2 linked regions of the Lepisosteus oculatus genome follow. The protein of the gene in region 1 purifies or fractionates together with the protein of each later gene. This does not show direct contact. Links are inferred from orthologs where the notes say so. Each region holds a gene or a part of one and is shown on either strand. Other genes may lie near its edges. The genes, in order: mlf1 and dnaJ homolog subfamily B member 6.

The links.
Region 2: the proteins of mlf1 (region 1) and dnaJ homolog subfamily B member 6 purify together in Homo sapiens (affinity purification with mass spectrometry; 3 studies listed by BioGRID and IntAct, counting the BioPlex papers as one, with this or other methods). This does not show direct contact. The link is inferred for Lepisosteus oculatus from reciprocal best matches to the Homo sapiens genes MLF1 and DNAJB6.

The regions. Positions count from the first base shown.
Region 1 is NC_090708.1:6,457,474-6,468,405, reverse strand, and holds the start of mlf1 (myeloid leukemia factor 1), read left to right. Parts: upstream 1-6,165; 5' UTR 6,166-6,313; coding exon 6,314-6,360; intron 6,361-9,229; coding exon 9,230-9,386; intron 9,387-10,932. Other genes in the region: rsrc1 (serine/Arginine-related protein 53), read left to right, coding at 345-479, 3,912-4,004. UniProt on the Homo sapiens protein: Involved in lineage commitment of primary hemopoietic progenitors by restricting erythroid formation and enhancing myeloid formation.
Region 2 is NC_090701.1:12,328,580-12,339,415, reverse strand, and holds the start of dnaJ homolog subfamily B member 6, read right to left. Parts: upstream 5,385-10,836; 5' UTR 5,239-5,384; intron 1-5,238. UniProt on the Homo sapiens protein: Has a stimulatory effect on the ATPase activity of HSP70 in a dose-dependent and time-dependent manner and hence acts as a co-chaperone of HSP70. Plays an indispensable role in the organization of KRT8/KRT18 filaments.

The sequences.
Region 1 (10,932 bases):
TATATAATATACAATTCTTAAAATGATCTATAGTTATGTGAAATATACAATAATCAGAAATAGCAGGTCAAGAGAATAAAGCAATACATTTATGCAAGGAAAAATATAGGATGGGCTCTGGTGACTCTTGGGGGAAAAAATGAAGAACTGGGAATTGGATTAACCCATTAACCAAGTTTATGATGCCTGTAAAATAATATAGTATGTTTTTAATCTAATACTATATTAATATCGTAGCACAGTATATTATGGTTTTATAATATAACTCACATATAGTACATTATTGTACAATATTAATATATTCATAATCTAAAACACTACTGTTTATTGCTGTTTTTGCACAGGTGGTTGAAACTGTAGAAATCAAGCAAGACCCCGAATCAGTGGACCTGCCCAGGCTGGAAAGTGAGCAGCACGAAGTCAGCAGCATCCCTACATCAATCCGGTACCAGGAGAATGACTCCCTGGCTCATCCCAATGTGAGTAGATGCATCAGATGGGTCTATATTAGGGTTAAATCCACGCATTTAACCTATCAAACTGAAATGAGCAACATACACAGTATACAGCTGTTGAATTATTATTCAGACCCCTGATGAACTGCACCTAAATGTCAATTTAGTGCAAAAATCCAGATGTACATTGATATGTTTGGTACAGACAAATCAAAAAGTAAAAACCTGTTTGCATTTCAATATTGTATGCATATAGAGAATATCTGGGGGGGAAAAAGTTATATTTAGTTTTAAATGCACAATGTTCCAATTTATTCTTTCCCTCTGTATTTTGTGAACCTCCTCTTTGATTTTGATGATGTTGAGGAGGCGTGTCCTGTACTTTTTATAGGTTTTCAAACTTCTCATGAGTCCCTACATATTTCACTACAGTTCTGTGCAGAAGCTTCAAGCTCCTCCACGTTATACAGCCCACAAACTGTATTTGTATCACAGGCTTGGGTAGAGTAGTGCTAAGGGCAAACTGGAAAAGTGCTCATCTTTTACTGAACCCTCTCGATATACAGTACATATGGGTAGATAAACAACACTTTGGCACATGTAAACATTGTTTGCTTTTTAACATTATCTAGTGTAAATAATTAGAGTATCAATGTATTTAAATAATGTGTAAATAAAGTATCTCTTGTCATCTGTAGAATGTTCTTGGATGAAATGCAATGGGCTGTGAGATCACCAGACATTTTCAATAAAGCCAAAGTCATACGAAGCAGAGTGGATGTTTTAATGTTTTAAAATTTAGTTACATGTGATCTATGTGAGCAATATATTAAGGGAGAGGGAGGAGAAGTTTGGATAATAATTAAATAATTTCACTCATGCACTGCAATTTTAATTTTATGGTTTATTTTGTGTTTTTATATGCTATATCCTTTTTATATGTAAAGCACATATACTGAATCTGTGCATGTGTGGCACTTTCTGGTAGCAAAACGTGCTATGTTGTATTCATCATTTCAAATTTGTAAAGTACGCATATTGACAGTTGACATAATATCTTTCAGTTTAGATTTCACCTTTTCCTATAGAAAATAAATAATATGCTTCAAGGTGTTTCTTTGAACCAAAATATACATGTGTGAAATGTTGGAGACCGTAAATTGAATATGTAAAACACAATTATTTTGGCCAAACTATTCATCTATGACTTAGTTCATTCTCAATAAGACTCATTTCTATAAAATGATAAAACATCTTCATATACAGACAAAAGCATTTTAACATGAAACGTATATTTCAAACTTCAAAAGGCAGGTCACGTTCAATAATTGCTAACATGCATTTATTTTAAATGCTGTGTATAAGTATTTCAATATTAAAAGCATTTTTTTAAATATACTTGTGGTTCCTAGTCAGAGCTCTCTCCAGCAGTCATCAGCCACATGATACATTTTACAGCCACTTGACTTATCCAGTGAGAGGTTTAGCACATACAAAAGAGGTAGTACAGAAAGGGTGCAATTGAATTTCTTGATGCATTTTAATTCATAATATACAATATCACTCCCAGACTGTTAGTACAAGGTGGAGGTTTTGAGCTGGAGGTGTTTTAAATCTGCCCTTTAAAATTAGTGTAATCAGTGTTCAATTCTGACAAGAAAATTCTGCCATGTGCCTTCAAATTCTTTTACAGCTCTGTGATTTGAGTATACTGATCTTCCCAATTCCAAGAGCTCAATGCAAGAGCTCCCCAATGCAAATTTAAAATCTGAGAGCTTGAATTCATGGAAAGGCAATAGAAACCTCAGGGAAGTTTCCCACAAGTTTACTGTGATCCTGAAAAATGGTTGTAAGATCCCTGCTGAGTGTATCATTGCTACAAAGGACAGTTTAGAAAAGTGATTAAAACTTGGCCTGCTTATGTATGGGATGCGGGAGGGGAGCAGAACGCCCAGTGGGGGCTTTTGTGGTGAGAACACATGCAAGCTCCACACAGACAAATGCCTGAGGCCAGACTTGGAGCTACGGCATGGGCCCTGGAGCTACGAGGCTGCAACACTAACCACTGAGCCGCTGTGCTCACTTAAAGCTATTGCCTTCAAGTTTGAATGGCATTGCCTCTTGGGAGCTGTGTAATCCTAAACCCTGTATACTGTACTTCTATCAACTGGAGTGCAATTGCTGCCTTTTGAAATGTAGCAATCACTCCCATAGCTTTCATGTAGTCCTGTACAAATGCATCTATGTTTGGTTCTAAACGAACAGCTGTCGATGATGCAGGACATGAACCAGCTGTTCACCATTGCGCTGCTTTAAACCATGTGCACAGTTCACTGCTAATAAATTAATGCAACATTTCATCAATTTTTCGGGTTGTGTTTAAGTTGTTAAATTGCAAGGGAAAGTTCATAGATTGTGATTTTGTTGTGGAATTGCCTATTTAATATCAGCAGGTGTCAGCCACAGTTCAGATTTCTAGTACACAGATGCCTACAGCAGATATTAATGCCTACAGCTAAAGCCGGGCTCGGCAGCTTCTCTGTGGCTGGAGTGTAGCAGTGTCTGTGCTGGAGGATACACAGAAAAAACATTGTATCAAGGCTGGATCCCACTGCATCCTTGAAGGAAGGATGCAAAGGTGCCATTTCCACCTGAATGGATGAGAGAATGTACTGAGAGAAGAGATCAGAGAGATCATTTTATTGGCCATATACAATTTCTTCCATTAGGAATTTGTCTCTTCGCATACCCCAGCTTGCTCTCCATGAGAGACACAGGCACACAGATGTGGGGAGAGAGAACCTTGGGGTCAGAGTGCAGGGTCAGCCATTTATACAGCGCCCCTGGAGCAGCTGGGGTTAAGGGCCTTGCTCAGGGGCCCAATGGAGTAGGATTCCTCTGCCGGCCACGGGATTTGAACCGGCAACCTTCCAGCCACAGGCACAGATCCTTAGCCACAGTGCCTCCGAACCCCCCCTTCCATCTTAACAAATGTTCTGAATGGTTTGTCCGTGGTGCAAGTGTTATTTAAAAAAGTGTCCACTATTGCTAGGAACTGTCCCAGCCTCAGAAAACTCAGTGTAGGTTTCATGCAGTGGAGAACCACAATCCAACAGGTCTTTTCAGTCACCTTAACATCCTCCATGTGTAAAAAGTGGCCAGCTGTATAGCTTTGGAGGGACTAGATGTGGTCATTTTCATCTCACGTAGTCTCTGATCCACTTAGTTGAACTGATCGCCTACTTGAGTGGTTCAGATGAAACTGCATCACGTGTTGAGGAGTTCAGAATGGAAGGGGTGACCCATAAAATGTGCTGGATTGTGGCTCTCCGAGAAAAGTATTGGCCACTGCAGGTCTACCAAGCTGAAGTCTGTCACACTGAAACTGCCACAGTGCTGGAGCAGGGTTTAGCAGCGGTGTTAACTTGAGCTCTTCTCTTTCTCCCCCTCCTGCAGCTGTTCATTGACAAGGCGGAAGCAGAGGAGATGTGGCTCTACAGACTGATGTCCCTTCGCCAGGAGAGGCTGATGGGCAGCCCTGTGCCCTGAACCCTTGATGATACTGTGTTATTGAAACCTGGCAATATTTCCGCGTGCTTTTGAAGTGCAACAGCATTCATTTTCAAGATCCCGAATGCGTTTTCTTAAATTATGTGTATTTTTCTTTTGTATAAGTTCATTTCTCACCTTGTAATTTAGAAATAAAAAATAACACAGAAGGTACCCTTCTTAGATTTTCTTGTGGTGTTTGTGATTATTTTGAAATTACTGAATAAAACTCATTATTGCAAATTGAAATTTAGTTTAAATTACACCCGCAGATCCAAACCCGGGGAATCTAGTTTTTCCAAAACTAAGGTTTTTGTTTTTATGTGCAACATATTAAGAACCAGACTGTCGCTCAGATCCAGAGTGGATCACATTTGTTGAAAATCAAATTTAACTTTGATGTTTGTTTTCTGCACATCATTTCAAGCTTGACTTTTTTTGCCATTTATTAATTTCCATGTCTAGCTTCATTGAACTGGAGGTTGTATTTAAAATGTAAGGTTGTGCAATCTTAGTTTACCTATGATACCAGAATTTTCTAGCATTCTAATACCATATAGGAAAAGATGTGCAGTACAGGACTTCATGACCCAATCCTCTGCCGGATTTTGTCTCAAATTAGCATCCTTTACTTGAACCCCTAATGCAAGTTATATGCATTACACATTTAACACACAGCATTTGTCATTGTTTAAGTTCTGGACTTGAAGTAACTTGAAAACAGTTTTGGAGCATAAAATGATTAAAAAGATCTAATTAGTCATATCATTAATTCCATTTAGGGTTCATTTAAGCCACTGACAGGCCAGCTGGATTGGAAGCTAGCAGACCGTGGGAAACCCTGGAGCATAGCCCTCTGTTGACCAGTTTCTTCTTCACGGCTGAATCAAAATCCCTTTGAAAGTGGATTATAGTCTCATGATTTCTTACCGGCTCTTCGTCTATTAACAGTTAACATTTCTTACAGCTTAGACATTTGCAATACACGTATTAAAGAAATTGGTGCATTCTGAACGAATGTGCCACAGGTGTCCTGAGAGGTGTTCATGTTCAGAAGGGGCAGTTTCTCATAATTCACTCTTTAAACACAGTGCTGACACAGGAACAGCTGGAGGAAATGGTTGAAAGGTACATGCAAGGTAGGAAAGTAGAAATCAGAAAGAAGAGATGGAATTTATTTTCTTAGTTATCATTCCAAACAAATGGGCATGAATGCCAGCAGCAACATCAAACTGCAACTCACAACTGGCAGCCTGCTGAAGCTCAGCAGGTGTGAGCCTGGTCAGTACCTGGAGGGGAGAAAGGCAAGGCTGCTGCTGGAAGAGGTGTTAGTGGAGCCAGTAGGGGGTGCTCACACTGTGGTCTGTGTGAGTCCTATCGACCCGGTCACTAAACTCTAAAAAGGCAACATAAAACTGAGGTCCTGACTCTCAGTGGTCTTTAAAACTCCCAGTGCATTTCCTGAAAGGAGGAGGTGTGTAAACACTGGTGTCATGGCCTCCTAATAATCCCCATCTCTGACCTGGCTTCATCACTCTGTTTTCCTCCCCACTGATAGCTGGTGTGTGGTGAGCATACTGGGGCCCTTTTGCTGGCATTTTGGAGCCTCCAGAGAATTCCAGGTTCTTGCTGTAAGTGGTGGACTGGAATGTAGTTTTCTTCCCAGTTGAGCAACAGTTCTATAGTCTATGGATCAACTTTTTTAAATCCAGTACTCCTGATGGAATAACACTACCTTGTGCAGGAATCAAATACTTATGGTTATGTTAATATTTGCCCACATTCCTTTTTTTTAAACGCACCAAAGTCAGACAGAGAAATTTAGATTGCACCTCAAGTGAGTGTTGATTCTTTGCAAAGATGTAGCAAAAACTTAATTCTTCTCAGTAAATGTAGCAAATTTTACATTTTGCTTACGGTAAAAGTTTGTGATTTGAAGCAAAATGTAGTTGTGCACATACAAGACCTTTATTCAATCGAAAACAAATCACACTTGACGTCTGGCGGGAGAAAAATGCTTGATTTCTAGATTTTGCCATAAGCCTGCGCTGCTATAGCAACGGTCCACAACATTGCCCTTCTATTAAGAGAGCTGCGCGTTTGCAGCGCTCTAGTAAATTCTGAGAATAACTGGCCAATCAGGGGGCCGGAGAGCAGTCACGTGTCTGCGGTTGGCGTCTGCGGTTCTCTGATGTACTCAAGGCTGGTGCGCTCGTCGACCTGAAGCAGCGGATAAGTTTGGCACGCTAATTTAGGTTTAGGTCAGGTCAGTCGTCTGTGTCTTGTGTCTTCGACAGCCCGGATCGGAAATGTTCAACAGCACTCTCAGGGAATTTGAGGAAGATCCATTCTTTGCGTAAGCGACTTTCAGGCTACTGCGACTTTTTTTTAGAGAGAGATTTCATTCTGTAAACGTGTATTGAGGTCTAGTGCCTTATAGAGTACATCAATTAAAAAATTGAAAAAAGGTCATTTTGAGATAAGTATTGTGTATTTGTAACTGCAAAATAATTCTACTCTACTGGCAATGCATAGTTTAAATGCTTCTTACATTTTTGTTGTTAAGGACGAAAAAGCGCAGAATGAAGCAAGACAAGTGCATGCATGCTTATTGAATTATTGGCTTCGTTTAAAGCGAGTTTTTAAGTTTGTTTCTGAAGATAAAAAATCTGTCGTTTTTGTCTTCAATTAAGTAAAACCAGCGCTCCATGCACAAGGTGTCAAGGAGCTGGATTTGCGCTCTACATTTGGGGGAACAAACAGAACAAGTTAAACATTATTGCTGTCGGGCTTCACACGCCGGATTCTTGCAGTATTTTTGGCGTAACTATGCAACATGCTAGGCAAGGCCTTTCAATGACTTGGGAGGGACATGGGGCCCCGGGTTACATCTGAAATAAGATTGCTGATCCCTGCATACTTCCCTCTGAGGATTTGTGTGGGTTTCACGTTCTCTCGAATGGACTTTAAAAAAAATAAATAAAACTAGCTGATATTATTTTTATAAGCGCCCACGTGGCTTTGAACTCATGACAGATTTGTTTAGCGAGTAGTATTGGAATAGTCTGCATCATTTCTAGCAGAACGCTTGCAGTTTTAAAGAATTTCAGTGCCCATGCTCAACCATTAAAGAATCCCCATCAGCTTCAGGCTTTCCACAGTGCACACTCCGCAGTTGCAGTTAAAGGTTGTTTGATTTCAGTGTTTACCTCGAAAATGCACGCAATTATGTATGCCGAAAAGACGCAAGTAGGAAGGAGCACAACTTTTATAAAAGGATAGGGATTTTTTAGGAGATTTTGCCAATGTAGTTTGTTTTAAATCGATATCAAACTTTTTTATTTGACGTGCATTATTTCAGATTAAATTTGACATTTATGCGCAACAGCAATTCTAGATCAATGCCTACAAACACACAGGTTTTGAAATTCAACATGTTTTTTTTAGTGGCTCATTAACATTTTGCCACACTTGTGGGTATTACAGTCAGCCAACACGAATATTGTACAGTACAGTATATCCTTTCACCTGTCCTTTTTTAATTATTGCCTTATCCTTAGATGGTCAGGGCAAACCTCCCTGGTAGGTGCAGGTCTTTAGACGGGACTGGACCATGAACAGGACTCCAGGCCACCACAGAACATACAGAGGCCAAATAGAACTAGAAAACCCACATGAACTAGAAGACAACATGTAGACTTCACACGGACGATCCAGATGTGAACCTAGAACTCTTGATTCACTGCCCCGTAATATATCCGTCATATAATAATATATTACTCCATCTTTTCTTGTGTATGAGATCATGGCATAGTCTTTACATGTTAACATATTCCCCTAAATAAGCACAGTCCAGTTACTAGTATTGTGGCGCACCTCCTCTCTTGAGCAGTGTGATGTAGGATAAGACTCTTATTGAAATCACTCCTTGGGGGAGGGGTGGTCAAGAGATGTGTTTTCACAGCTCGGAATCTGGTTGTTTGAGGGAGTTTTTCTCTACTGGCTAACAACTGCTGCTAGATTGTTAACTTTTCTACTAAATATTGAATACAATGGCAAAAGCTGTGGCACTAGCTGTAGAGATTTATTATTGTTTTGAAATAAAATGCATACAAAATGCATACAAAGTGCATACAGTACATACTTGAGATCTCGTATAATCTTACTTTCTTGATAAACTGCTTCCAAAATGATATGGAGGGATTGCGTCTGAAAAACAGTGACTGTAGTGAGGTGCTTTGTGATGTGGATTTATTTTTGTCCAACCGTCTTAGATATACAGTAAAGAGTAACAAAACAACATGACTGTTTAACTACCGGTGGTATGTACAGTACTTCATTAAAGAATGCCATGTGATTCTTCAAACCCCCTAGTTGAGTCCCTGTTTATTTATTGATTTCTATACTTAGAACATACTTGGATTCCTGTGTTTCTCATGACAAATTATTAACCTTGTGATTGTTGCATTTTAATCAATAAACACTGTCTGAGATATTTATCAACAAGTACGCTACTTGTGATTTTACTTGCCAAGCCCTTTGGTTGTGTTACTATCTTACTGTATAAATAATCACAGTTCTGGAATTTCGCTTTGTGTATTGAAGCTGATTTGTACACTTGATAACAACAGAATAATGTGCTCCAGTTTTATTTCTTTCAGAGTGTTATTTCCCTGCATCAGCCATGCTGCTTAGTAATGCCTTCAGCAAAAGCTTTTATGTATTCAGCTATTTGATCAGTGATTTGTGGAAAGGTTTGCAAAATCAGTCTGAAAAATAGGCTTACATGTTTTTATACTTATACCTCGACTACAATGAAAGAATCATACTTAAAACGGCGTTGTCTTTCTTAAGTGTTCTAGTGAAAGCTGTTTATATAGATTTCAGTAACAGATACTACTAAACATGTAACTAGTGCATAAGTGTTGTGTTATTTATGCACTCATACTTGTTAGATTCTACACGTTCTCATGAATTGGCAGTTACTTTCCCTGGCTCAGTACTGAACGTTTCTCAGACTTGAGGCCACAGGACAAGAAGCTGACTTCCACGCAGTTTCCCAGTCTGCCCAGTTAATTATCTGTACTTAATATCTTATGTAAATGAGTGCCGTGTAGGAGAGTTTAGTAGTAATCACACTTTAGTGCGGCCCTTAAGGGTTTTCATTTTCTAATTTGATCTTAAATGCAGATGTAGACATTACCGTTTTTCTTTTGCCCCTATAGCGATCCATTCCGAGCACACAATGAACATGTGCGGCAGATGATGAGGAGTTTCTCCGAGCCCTTCGGCAGAGACCCTTTCCTGAGTATCGCTGATGGGACAACCGGAAATCAGAGGGGGAACCTGAACGCCAGCATGGCATTAAGAGAGGGACACAGGGTAAGAGCTTCAGTAGCAGCTCAAGTTGTACACACTACGACAGTGCCTCGTTCAGCACGCTCCACGTTTCCTCAAATCCTTTGTCACGTTGTAGGGATTATGTATATCAAATCAAATACTACAGCCTCCTCATAGATGCTCTGAGAGGACTGTAACAGCTACTGTCAGATGTGTGCAGTAGCTCTTACCGACTGATGTGTTGCCCAAAATAAGGTGAAATGGGAACGTCTGAGACTTGTTTTTGTTTCTCAAAACGTGGCTGTTTTTTGTAGGTCGACTGAGGAGTTGTGTCAACATGCGCTGGCTGCAAAGGAAGAAGTAAATGTTAATTTCACCCCGTTAAAAACAGGAGAAATGCAACGTTTCGGCCGTCCTGCCTTCTTCTCACACCTGACACACCAAGAAGGCTCAACAGCCAAAATGTTGTTTCTCCCTTTGATTTTTTCAGTGTGGAATTAAACGTGTTCCTATTTTTATAGAGACTGATTCACATGACACATGACACCTGTGCCTTCATAAACTCCTTATCAAATGTGTCAGGGAGAAATCTGAGAACTCTGGCCGCTAGTAATCTCAAAACGTCCTTTTTGGAGTTACTCAGTAATACATGACACCTGAGCCAGCTCGCATCCCTGGATAATGGTATTGGGTTTATCAATGCATTCTGTTCTCAGTCACAATCTTAATCACATGAATTATGACATTAAAAGGCTTCTTTAGTTTTTTTTTTAAATTAATACCCTAGTAGTAGTTTAATTTGTTTAAAATAAAATGCTTTGGAGAAGACAGAAAACATTTCATCTTCTTATTTTTGCACATTAAAATGTAGCAGTTGAAGAGAGTTCCAAGGCATGCCTATTATGATAAATGTTGATAGTTACTCTTTACAAAAGCTGCCTTGTCCATGTTATAAATGTCAGGCATAATTTACCTCTGTAAAAAGTGTAAATAAAAGTGTATTTGATCTGCCATAGACAGAAAAGTACACATAGGATACAGAAGTATTGTTATTTCAGTATTTTCTTGACTCATTGCCTTCTCTTTACTGTGAAATGTCTAAGGCTTGCACTTTCTCTCTTTTTAAAAGAATGTTACATGAAGCAGAGTTCTTGGGTCACACAAAAAGAAAATAGGACAAGGAGAGTAATTGCTGTACCCTGTAACCTAATAGTAGAAGTGGTTTATAGGCCTTATTGAACACAAAAGTCTGTCATCTAGGGGTCAGAGAAGGTTGCTGCTCAACACCCAGCTCGTCTAAGATCAGAGTTATCTTTAGCTGGATGTATTTATAGAAGCCGAGAGCTGCATTGTTCTGCTGACAGTATTCTTATTAAAATGTTTCTTCCAATTGTTCTTCCATTTTGTTTTCTTCTGTTAAACTAATTTGTTTCCTCATGAATACATACTGTTTTCTTGGCAGTGCTGATTCTCATAGTGAGGAGGACAATTTCACAGGCAAAAAAGTATTGGTGAACATTGAACAGTCACAAGCTGTGCAGCCTGCAGCTTCCTAGGTTGCTGGAAAGGAATTTAATGTGCAAAGAGT
Region 2 (10,836 bases), on another chromosome or scaffold:
CATTCAAATGCCATCTAAATGACAGAACATTCATGTAGATCAGATCCAGCACGTGACATTCTAATAACATTAAAAGTCAATTTCCCCCAACTATTTTAAAAAACATAGCAAGCCTGGCCTTGAGGAGAAACGGTTATAAATCAACATTTTTTGCCTACCTTTTTTGTCCAGTGTTGAGAAAAGTTCAGGCTATGATGTGCTGTGAAGCAAGAGGTCTTCATTGTAGAAGAGTAATTTTTAATGTTCAAACATGTCATTAAATAAGACATCTGGTTGCCAGTGTATTGCAGGTAATTAAGAACAGCAAAGGAAAAGAAAAGCAAAAAAAAACGTTTAAGTATGTTCTCAGGCTAAATGTTAAAAACGCAAAAGCGTCCTCTCTTTATTTTTATTATGATTTACCCAAACTGACTTAAGAAGAATGAACTAAGATTAATCCAATCACAAACAATATAAAACAGTTTTTTTCTGCTTATTACACAAAACCGCTTTAATATTAAAGTTCACACTTTAAGCATTCTGTGAAACTTAAATCCCATATTAAAAAACAATAACGTCAAGAACAACCATTTCTGAATTCTGGCTACAGAGAACTCCAGGGGGACAAGCTGAAAATCTCCCTACAATCAGAGCCTCTCTGGTTGGTTTGTCATTTACCTACAATAAAAATAGCACTGGCCACTGACATCTAAAGAATGAACGGGAATGTTAGCAGACTGTAAAGAGCCGCAAACGAACCAGCGGTTTAAAATCCGCTAAAGCGCATTAAGAATGCATCATACATGTTGCATCCTGAAGTGGAGCACAAAGAATTGTACCGTGTGTGTGGTCTGTGGCAGATTGAAGCTGCCGAGCCTAATTACTTCGTTCTGAGAGCTGATTCACTTGGGCTGATAAATTGGCTAACGGACTGGCAGGAGGATTCAGGCACAAGGCTGATCTGTGACTGGGCAATCATACAATTAGCAACTCAGCTGGCAGCCCTGAAATGGGATGTGAAGTGCAGCCTAAATCAATCCTGGGTTTTGAGAATGAGCATCCACACGCACGTTTTGCACTACTTTTGTACTTTGAGCGCCACAATCAGAATAATGTCTTTCCTTTCAAACTCAACCAGTGAATAATCCAAGGGCTTGTGTGGCACCCCAACGCCACCGCACTGCAAGTTGGGGTTTCAATGCTTTTCAACCCACAATTTTTGCCAAACCGATTATCACTTAGACCTTGCAATAATTATAATAGTGACAGAGTAGGTTGAGCAAAAGCATAATCTTTCCTCACGATTTGCAGGCATGGATGTGTTAAGGTGGCTATAATATTTGCAGTGAGCACTGACTCCAGGACCAGGTTCATGCTAATAGATGAATAACGAAAGATGGCAGGGAGAGTGAACAGCTGGACAGGGCGGCAAGTGAAGTAATTAATCTACCAGTATGTTGATGGACTGGGGGAGGAAACCAGAGCACAGGGGTGCAGTGGATAGCATTACTGCCTCAGTTCAATTCCTGCCCTAGGACATTATCTGCTTGGAAAACTGACAGATGTTCTCTAGGTGTGAGACTGTGTCTGTGCGTCTGCCCTGTGTCCCAGTCTAAGTGTACCTTGCCTTGCACCCATTACTTGCTTGGGTCAGCTCCTTCTCCCCCTCAACACTGAGGTGGGAGAAATAGTGAGAAAATGGATGGGTGGACAATGGCTAGACCGCTGCAATGTTAAGCAAACACAGGCGTCCCCCGCTTTTTGCGGCTTCCGTCTATGCGAATGCGCTTTTACGCGACTGACCCCCTTAATGCAAAAAAAAATTCATTTTTACGGGATCTGTGGCGGTAGAGCAAATTCCCGCGAAACAAGCTATAGACCTGCTTCTTCCCGCCAAAGCCTGCCCAACGAGTCGCTCCTCTTTCAGTCACGCACTCGCCACCGCGGTTTGCGGGTCTGAGCTACTTATGCGGCGCGTTTGCCATTTCCATCTGTTCCTGCTATAGCTGCTGCTGTTATTTTGGAGTCAAAATCAGCACCCACATCTCGGTCCCCTGAGCCTTACGGTCTGCCTATTTTGGCGAGCATTGATTTATTTTTAGTTAGAATAATGTGTCAAATAACATTTACGTTAAGTTTAGTTTTAATTCCTAATGTATGTCAGCATGTATTTGTATGATCCAAATGCATTTGGAACACTACATTTAACACCGTTCCACACAACCCCTTTTTCCCCCCTGCAGGGTTAAGGTACCGCTGATGCGAGGTTTTCGTGGAATGTAACCTTCCCATAAAACGGGGGACGCCTGTACAAGTCCAGCCCCCCCTCATGTTAGCAAGACAGATAAGCAAGGTCAGTTCTGTACTTCAGGGCTCACTCGCTTATCTGCTTCCAACTCACAGTGTCCAGACAACGATACAACAGTACAGATAAGCAGTAGCCCACGCTAATGTCCACCAACCACTTGTGTAACATGTCCAACACATAATCCCTCGATCACAACGCATGGATTGTGACATCAAAACAGATGCCCCTGAACCAAAGGGATTCCCATCCCTAAAACTGCTGCTGCTGTTTTATTTAACTGGGATGCAAGTCTCAAGATCTTGCGTCAGGACAGAAAGTCTGTACATCACTGACAGAAGTCCAATTAGTTAATGTGATGTAAATGACAGTTCAGTGCAAACAGATCACATACCTTGTCTAAATTACATTTCTGTTTATTCAACAAATGTGCAATCTCAGAATTATACTTCTTAAGTCCATTTCTGCTGTTTCTCCAACATTTTTTTCAGCTTGTTTATAGTTAAGAAATTAAGTAATGCCTCTAAAAGGTAGCCTTAAACACAGGGAAAAAGGTTAAATACGTCATGACATTTTATAAATTATATATAATTAATGACCAAATAAAATAAAAGTTTCTGGGTTCACAATCCTCTTATCTTCCAGACAAGGAAAGAGCAGATCTGGTTTATTTCCTCATGTGACCACTCCATTAATCACGGTGCGCTTTATCATTTCATGAAGGCAGCTGGCCCAACACACAGATACAAAGGCCTCATCTCCAACAGTCCTGAATTACGCAAACAAGAGAGCATCATGCAGGTCAATACGCTGACTTTTAGACTATAGCCTTACTCCCCTGAAACCGAAAGTCTTGATGGAAGGTCCTTCTCTCACAATCCATCACACTGTATGATTTTATGTTAAAAGCGGGATAGGATTAGCGTTTGCAACTTTACCACCATCTTTAGAACTGGTGCAAGACAACCTATCTTTACACAACCAAAACTACCTCTCAAAGATACTGGCAAGCCAGCTACTTCATACGTAGCCAGCAAACTATCTAAGTGTCTATGTTAAAGACATTCAATACACTTTGAAGTGCTTGCTCCAGAAACCAAACACAGATCTCAGAAGCAACACTTTTCAAATGGCTTGAACAGAAATATACCATTTGCTAAGAAACTGTATCGCTGGGTCTCATGGCTGTGTGTGTAATATAGGCACCAGTAACAGCAGCTCTTTCCTAATAAAGCACAGAGGGGACTTTAGAAATGAATCCATAGATTGAGTGCAAACCTGTTGAAAAGTAACACATTTAAAGCACTGTAGCAATGGCTTTTCTGTGCCACATGCACAGGGTATTAAGTGGATTAAGAGGACATCCACAACCGGGAATGTATTCTGGTGTCAACCGCAGCTCACTAAAGCGTACTCCCTCATGCTAATACACGAGCAGACGTTATGAAAATCTTGAAATTTGCTTAAATCAACACAAATGTCCCCTACAGCTATTCAGGTTTTTTTTTTTTACTGTAGAAAAGTCCAAATAGTGACAGCTCAGCAGCAGTTTTACCTAATTTCACACGCGGTGTCAAAACTAGACCGGCACACACATTTTTCAAAAGGGCAGAAGTAACTCTTCCTCGCCCCGGATTCGCACGGAAAGCTCTCCCGGCGTCAGCAAAGGAAATGTTTACAAATCGAAAATAACAACAGCCCTAAAGCCAAAGAGGGAACTGAAAAGAAGAGCCACAAACCGAGGGCCGTGTCTCAGCATTTAACAAATCAGCCCATCACGAAAAGTTCAGGTGGATGCCACTCATTGGTGGTGGTGGAGGGGAGTCCCCATTACCTGTGAAGCGTTTTGAGTGGAGTGTCCAGAAAAGCGCTATATAAGTGTAACCAATTATTATTATTATTATTATTATTATAAGTCACAGACTGTAAACTACAGCCAGCCTCACGTGTACTCTGAGGAGAGGGAAGGAGAAAGTGCCCCATGGACGCAGGGGCAAGACTACCTTCATTTGAACCGGCTAATCCAGTCCAGGGACCAGGGCGACAGGGATACACGGTTCTCGGCGCCTGCCGGTGTGGACAGGGGGGGTCTTTAGTGGGGACGTCCCCACACTCATCCAGACACGCCTCGGTCTTCGGTGCGGATTGAAAACACCGGTGTACAAAGCCAACCGCAGGCGGGCCCAAGCCGTGTAGTACCTCCCGACACCGCTTGCCTCGCAAAACAAAAACACTGGTTACGTCCAGTTTTGCCTTTATGCCCCGCCGACATCCTAAGAGCGGCCCTGTCAACAGCGATAACATTGCTCACAGAGAGCAGCAGGTACTGGCGTTGGTCACTGGCCGCGGTGAGGGGCAGCGACACCAAAAACACAGTCACCCCGGGTCGACCCGGACCTGGGTTCACCCAGTGCGGTCCGTGCTGCGAGGTTTCTCTTTGAGAGGTGTTTTGCTCGAAATGGGGTTCCCAGCTCACGCACGTACTAAATCCAATACTCGCATCTAAGAGCAATTAAGGGACGACGCGACTCTTCAATCATGAAATACTTCACAGCAGAACCGGGGCGGCGGGGGGAGGGAGAGAGAGAGAGTGTCTACGAACCCACCATCCTCGTAATCAGGGGAGACCCCGTGTTTTGAGGGGGACACTTTCCTCACCACTATCCTGGAGGACAAAAGATCCTCCCCCCCCCGCCAATCTCTGCCGTTTTCACGCTTTCGGGGTTCTAGTCATACAGACTCCGGGGACCGACCCCCCCGGATGAACAACCCTCCCCCGATATCGCTGCGACACGCACGGGCATATATTTCTCTGGATCACATCTTAACCAGCTCGGCAAATGTATTCAGAGCACGCAGTATTTGCACTCTCCCTTCGCCATCCTCCACGACGTGCACTCACTACGCACAAACGCAACCGTCGGCGGTCAGGACAACATCAGACACAGACTCACCTCCCCGTTCGGCTACCAAGACCTCCCTTTTGTTGCTGTTGTTTTATACTGTATAGTGTACGTTTTGTACTCTAAAGGCGCCGCACAAGAGCAACTTCTGGTGCCCCTGCTTGTTCCTCGGCACTTGTAACGTCACTTCCTGCTACAGCCAAAGCCGCAAACTCTAATGGGGGGAGGAGGGGAATTTATCTTTGAAATGTTCTGGAAATTTGTGGTTGACGTGAACCGGCGTCTGCTTTGTCGTCTTTAATGTTGTGGTTAATAATATTTATTTTGCCAGATCCCTTCATACACAAAATACAAACGCGCTACCCACATAAAACCATTTCCAGAATGTTCTGTAGTAATCAAAATAGGACGGACGTGTACTGATGTTCTTACCTGTGGTATTTGTGAGGCATTTTGAGATTTTTGGATTAAGAGTATAGAAGAATTACCCTTTATACGTGTGCTTTAATTTGTGTGTTTCTTACGTAAAAAGTATAGCATATTGCAATTTGTGTGTATTACAGCACAACAGTATAGTATTGTGATACACTAGTGTAGTACTATACAATTTACTATAGTGCTCACTACAGTACGTTACTACAAGGCCTACACTATTACAGTCACGTTCTGTAATATGTTGTGTAGTACTATAGTTCTGTGCTTAATAACCACACAGGTTGATTCTTGCATTTGTAGATTGTTTTTCTTATCAAAGGATTGTGGATTGTAAATTGTAGAATTAATCTATATCGATGCCATAGGAATACCATGTATTATATACTGAATACACGTTATATACTTATATAACATGGGTATGTCATATATACTAATACTTTATAGTTTATGGACATAACAACTACTTGCATGGAATTAATCTATATCAATGCCATAGGAACACCATGTTTTATATACTGAATACACGTTATATATTATATAACATGGGTATGTCATATATACTAATACTTTATAGTTTATTGACATAACAACTACTTGCATGGAATTTGGTTCAGTGAGCACATACAGAGGTTGAGCAGAGTGGGAAGGGTTGGCTAGGATCTTAGAGATCAGAGAATTCAGAGAATTTTGTGTTTCAATTTCAAGAGGCAGAGGGAAGGTGGCATCCTTTAAATTTGGAGGCGATATACAGTACATGACTTGTCCTGGGCAGAAGTGTTGCCATACCACGCAGTGAGGGAGTGAGGGAGAAGCTCAAAACACTCTCAGTGTGGAAAAGGGTCATTGCTTCTTGTGACACTCCAGAATTCTTCAGCTGTGTCAGGAAGAACAGCCTTTGGTGAGCTTTCTTGACCAGGAACTTAAAATTCTCCACCACGTCCACAGCCTGACCAGTGATGAATAGTGCTCTTTTGCTTTGCCTAAAGTTCTTTTATTTTGCTGACATTTTGTTCCAGTTTGTTTAGGCTACACCAATCAATTAATTCAGCTATTTCATTCCTGTTTACTGATTCATCATCGTTTGTGGTGAGCCCTACAGGAGTAGCGTCATCAGGAAACTTGAACATTTTTTACAGAATCTGAATGTGAAATACAGTCATTTGTAAACAGAAAGTAAAGCAAAGATGATAAGACACAACCCTGATGAGCTCCTGTGCTCCTAATACTCATAATACAGTAATACATGTGCTATAGTGTGTTAGATATACTGTAGAATAAAAACATATTCAATTTACAGTGCAATATTATACAGCACTCACAGTATTCATATAAACATTATATATTTTGCTTATACATTATTTTGCTTAAAATGTTACTTCAGTAAATGTCAACCTCCTATACCTATCAACTCCACCACATTTTGGAATAGTAAGCTTTTATAACATGGATAGCACAATACGTAATGCACGTCTTTATGCTGGGATATTCTCTAATAGAGTAGTTTTATATTAGCATAACCTTTAAGAGCCAGAATTAAAAACCGTCACAATAGTTTTAATTTCTGTAGATTTTAGATATAGTGCCATAGAAATGCTCTCAAAAAAACAAACAGACACTATTGGTTCTCCTACCTTGCATAGCATTATTAATGCATTTCTGTATATGTTGTACATTTACTTTAAAAAGATTATAAAATAAAAAATCACAAGAAACACAAACAATTAAATTAGAATAACTAAAAAGAAATACAATTGACTTACTCACAGGAACACCTTTTCAAAATAGATTTTAAATGTTGACAGCTGCATAGTCCCTATATGAGTTGTGGGGATATTTAAACTTAAGTTTTACAAGATATGCTTGTACAGTATAAGGAAATAAGCAGTGGATGTCAAAGGAACATTAATACATTAAGTTAACAAAGTTTTTTATGCATTCCCAGTTAAATTGAATTTTATGATAAAATATTTAAAGTATAAAAATAAAATCTAAACACTACATATTGTATGGTACAGAACTTCAAATTTGCAGTAGTTAATAAAATGTTAGAGAATGGCTTTGAACCAGGGGTCAGAGGACCTCAGAAACACAGGTAGACTTTTCACCCATTTTCTTACTCTTATATAGTGCTTTTCTGGACACTCCACTCAAAGCACTTTACAGGTAATGTGGACTCCCCTCCACCACCACCAATGAGCGGCATCACCTGGATGATGTGAGCCAAAGTGCAGCCAAACTGCACCAGTACACTCCAGCACACACCAGCTATCAGTGGAGAGGAGAATACCGTGATGAAGCCAATTCATAGATGGGGAGTTTTAGGAGGCCATGACTGGTAAAGGCCAGGGGGGGAATTTAGTCAGAACTCCAGGGTAGCAATACTACTCTTTCTGAAAACTACTTTATAGTGGCTTTATGATTTCAGAATAAATGCACCTGTCCCTGGAATGTTCCTCTGTCAGGCAGTGAGTGTGAAGTAAAGATTCAACTATGAAGGCCTAACAGAAACAACCCTATCACTGAGACACTGCCTAGATCAGACTATACCGTTAAAGCAGGTGGGCAAGGAAGAAAATGGTTCAGGATGTCATCGTAAAGCCAGTTTTGACCTTGAAAGAGCAACAGACTTCAATGGCTGAGATGGGAGAAAGCTATCCATGAATCAATATCTCAGTCTCTCCACAAAGCTGGTCTGCATGGCAGAGTAAAAGGAAGGGAGCTATTTTTGGTCCAAATGCAAAGCGAAATATCTAGTTGCCTAGTCAAAGTCACAATTTCAATCTAATAGTACATATGTAGCAAGACTTGAAATTGCTGTCCTTTTTCAATCCCTGCCAACCTTACATCGCTGCCTCCCAGCTCTGGGGCCCTGGGTCCTGGATTTGGGGTATTTTCAGTGTGGAAAACTTTCTGTGTGTTTGTGTGTTATCCATGTTTTTGTGTGGGTTTCCCCCCGATGTTGTGGTTTCATTCCACAGCCCAGAAGCATATTGGTAGGTTAATTGACTAAGGGTGGAAAATACGCCCTAGGTGTGAATATGTCTGCCCTGCAATGGCTTAGTGTCCTTCTAGGATGCATCCTTCCTTATGACTACTGCTTGCTGAGATAGGCTCTGGCTCCTTTGCAACCCTGAACTGGGTCAGACCCCATGTTATCCTTCACAAGGAAAATTGTCACATGTTCAAAGCTATCAAGATTGTTGATACCAGTTCAAATACAAACTTCCTATGAAATCTGTCATGAACACTTAGACCTCTGTCACAAAGGCACAGACAGCTTCTTTTGTTTTCCCTTGAGGATTGTTATTAGCAATGAAAAGAGAGGCTGCCACTGAGATCTTAGAAGAAAGGCGATCTAAGCAGCATCTCTAGAAATGTTTTCAGCAATCAGTTTGTGTGACACTGACAGCTTCTGCAACTGGAATTCATGCCACAGAAAATATTTCTCACTGCCAAAAGCTATTTGATGAAGAAGTATTTCTGTAATGCAATCACCAGAACAGTTTGAGAACAACCTGGTTAAATGTCTCCTTATTCTTCATGACAGAGCAAAAGTCACGTAAGGTTCAATCTGCCATTAGCAACTGTAGTTTTGAGGAACTGAATCATCCACCATACAGGCATTATTTCACTTTCAGGGACTGTATATTTTTTCTTCAGAAGTTTGAAATTTGAAAAGGTTTGGTGGAGAAGACCATTTGTGAAATTGAAGAAGTATGTCAGTGTGGGTTGAAATCCACTTCTGTTCTCAGACTTGGTTCTAGAATACAGAATTCAAAAAACAATAACTAGACCAGGGATGCTGTTGACAAATAATGGAAATAAACTGCAGCTTGGTTTAGACAGATTACATTTTTAGTAACCCTGCCCCCCATATGTATTTGGCTAGGATTTCAAATCTTTTCATAAATTCAATCAAGGCTATTTTAAATAATTGAACCTCCCCTGAAGCACAAATGCATGGGCATTCATAAGTAAATTCCAACTGTCCAAACTGAATTGACTGTCCAAATGAAAAAGAATCATCCTTATTTTTCATTGAAATGTGTTGCTTAAGAAAGCAACTGAAGACAACTATTCAGAAACACATGGAAACAGCAAAACCCTACTACCAGCCAGCAGCCATATCACCCTGTAACTTACAACTTGTAACCCACTGCTAAGCAGGTGTGAACCTGGTCAGTACCTGGATGGGAGACTTCCTAGGAAAATGTAAGGTTTCTGCTGGAGGAGGTGTTAGTGGGGCCAGCAGGGGGCGCTCACCCTGTGGTCTGTGCGAGTCCTGATGAGGACACTATACTGTAAAAAGGTGCCATCCTTCAGATGAGATGTAAAACCAAGATCCTTACGTTCTGTGGTCATTAAAAATCCCAGGACATTTCTCAAAAAGAGTAGGGATGTAACCTCTGTGTCCTGGCCAAATTTCCCATGGGCCTTTATCAATCATAGCCTCCTAATAATCCCCTTCTATGAATTGGCCTCATCACTCTGTTCTACTCCCACTGATAGCTGATGTGTGGTGAGTGTTTTGGCCCAGATCGGTGGTGGTGGAGGGGAGTCCTCATTACCTGTAAAACGAGTGTAGTGCCCAGAAAAGCACTATATAAGTGTAAAGAATAATTATTATTATTACTAAATTTAGAAACACTTAATGTTTAATTGTGTTCCAATTGGCCTGTGATAAAAACTCAGCCCACTACTTACATTTCTTGTACCACGGTTCATCTCTGCCTAGAAATTACAAAACCAGGGAGACAGTGTCAGCAGTGTTAGAGAAGGTGACAGACAAACAACTCACCGAAAGAGCACCACCTGCTTTATAAACAAGGATGAAACCAAGGAGCTCATTCAAATCACTCAATGCCATCTGCTGTCAAGGTCTCAGAATTGCAGCTAGAACATTTATAGTCTGAGCTGTTGAGGATAATACAATTTAATTTAAGCTTTTCTGTTTACAATATGATTTGTTTTCTGTTGAATACATTATGATGATGTGTTTGTTCCATGTACTGTACTTATTACCTTCCTGTCAGGTACTTACACATGCTGATGTACTTACTTTCTTCCAGCCTTGTACAAGACACTAAGAAATATACATATTCAAGCAAAAATGTACTGTAAATAAACCAAAACAAATGACAAATGACACAAAATACTGTATGAAATATCAAATATAATTGCCTTTGGAAAATAACACATTAAATTCCTTAATCC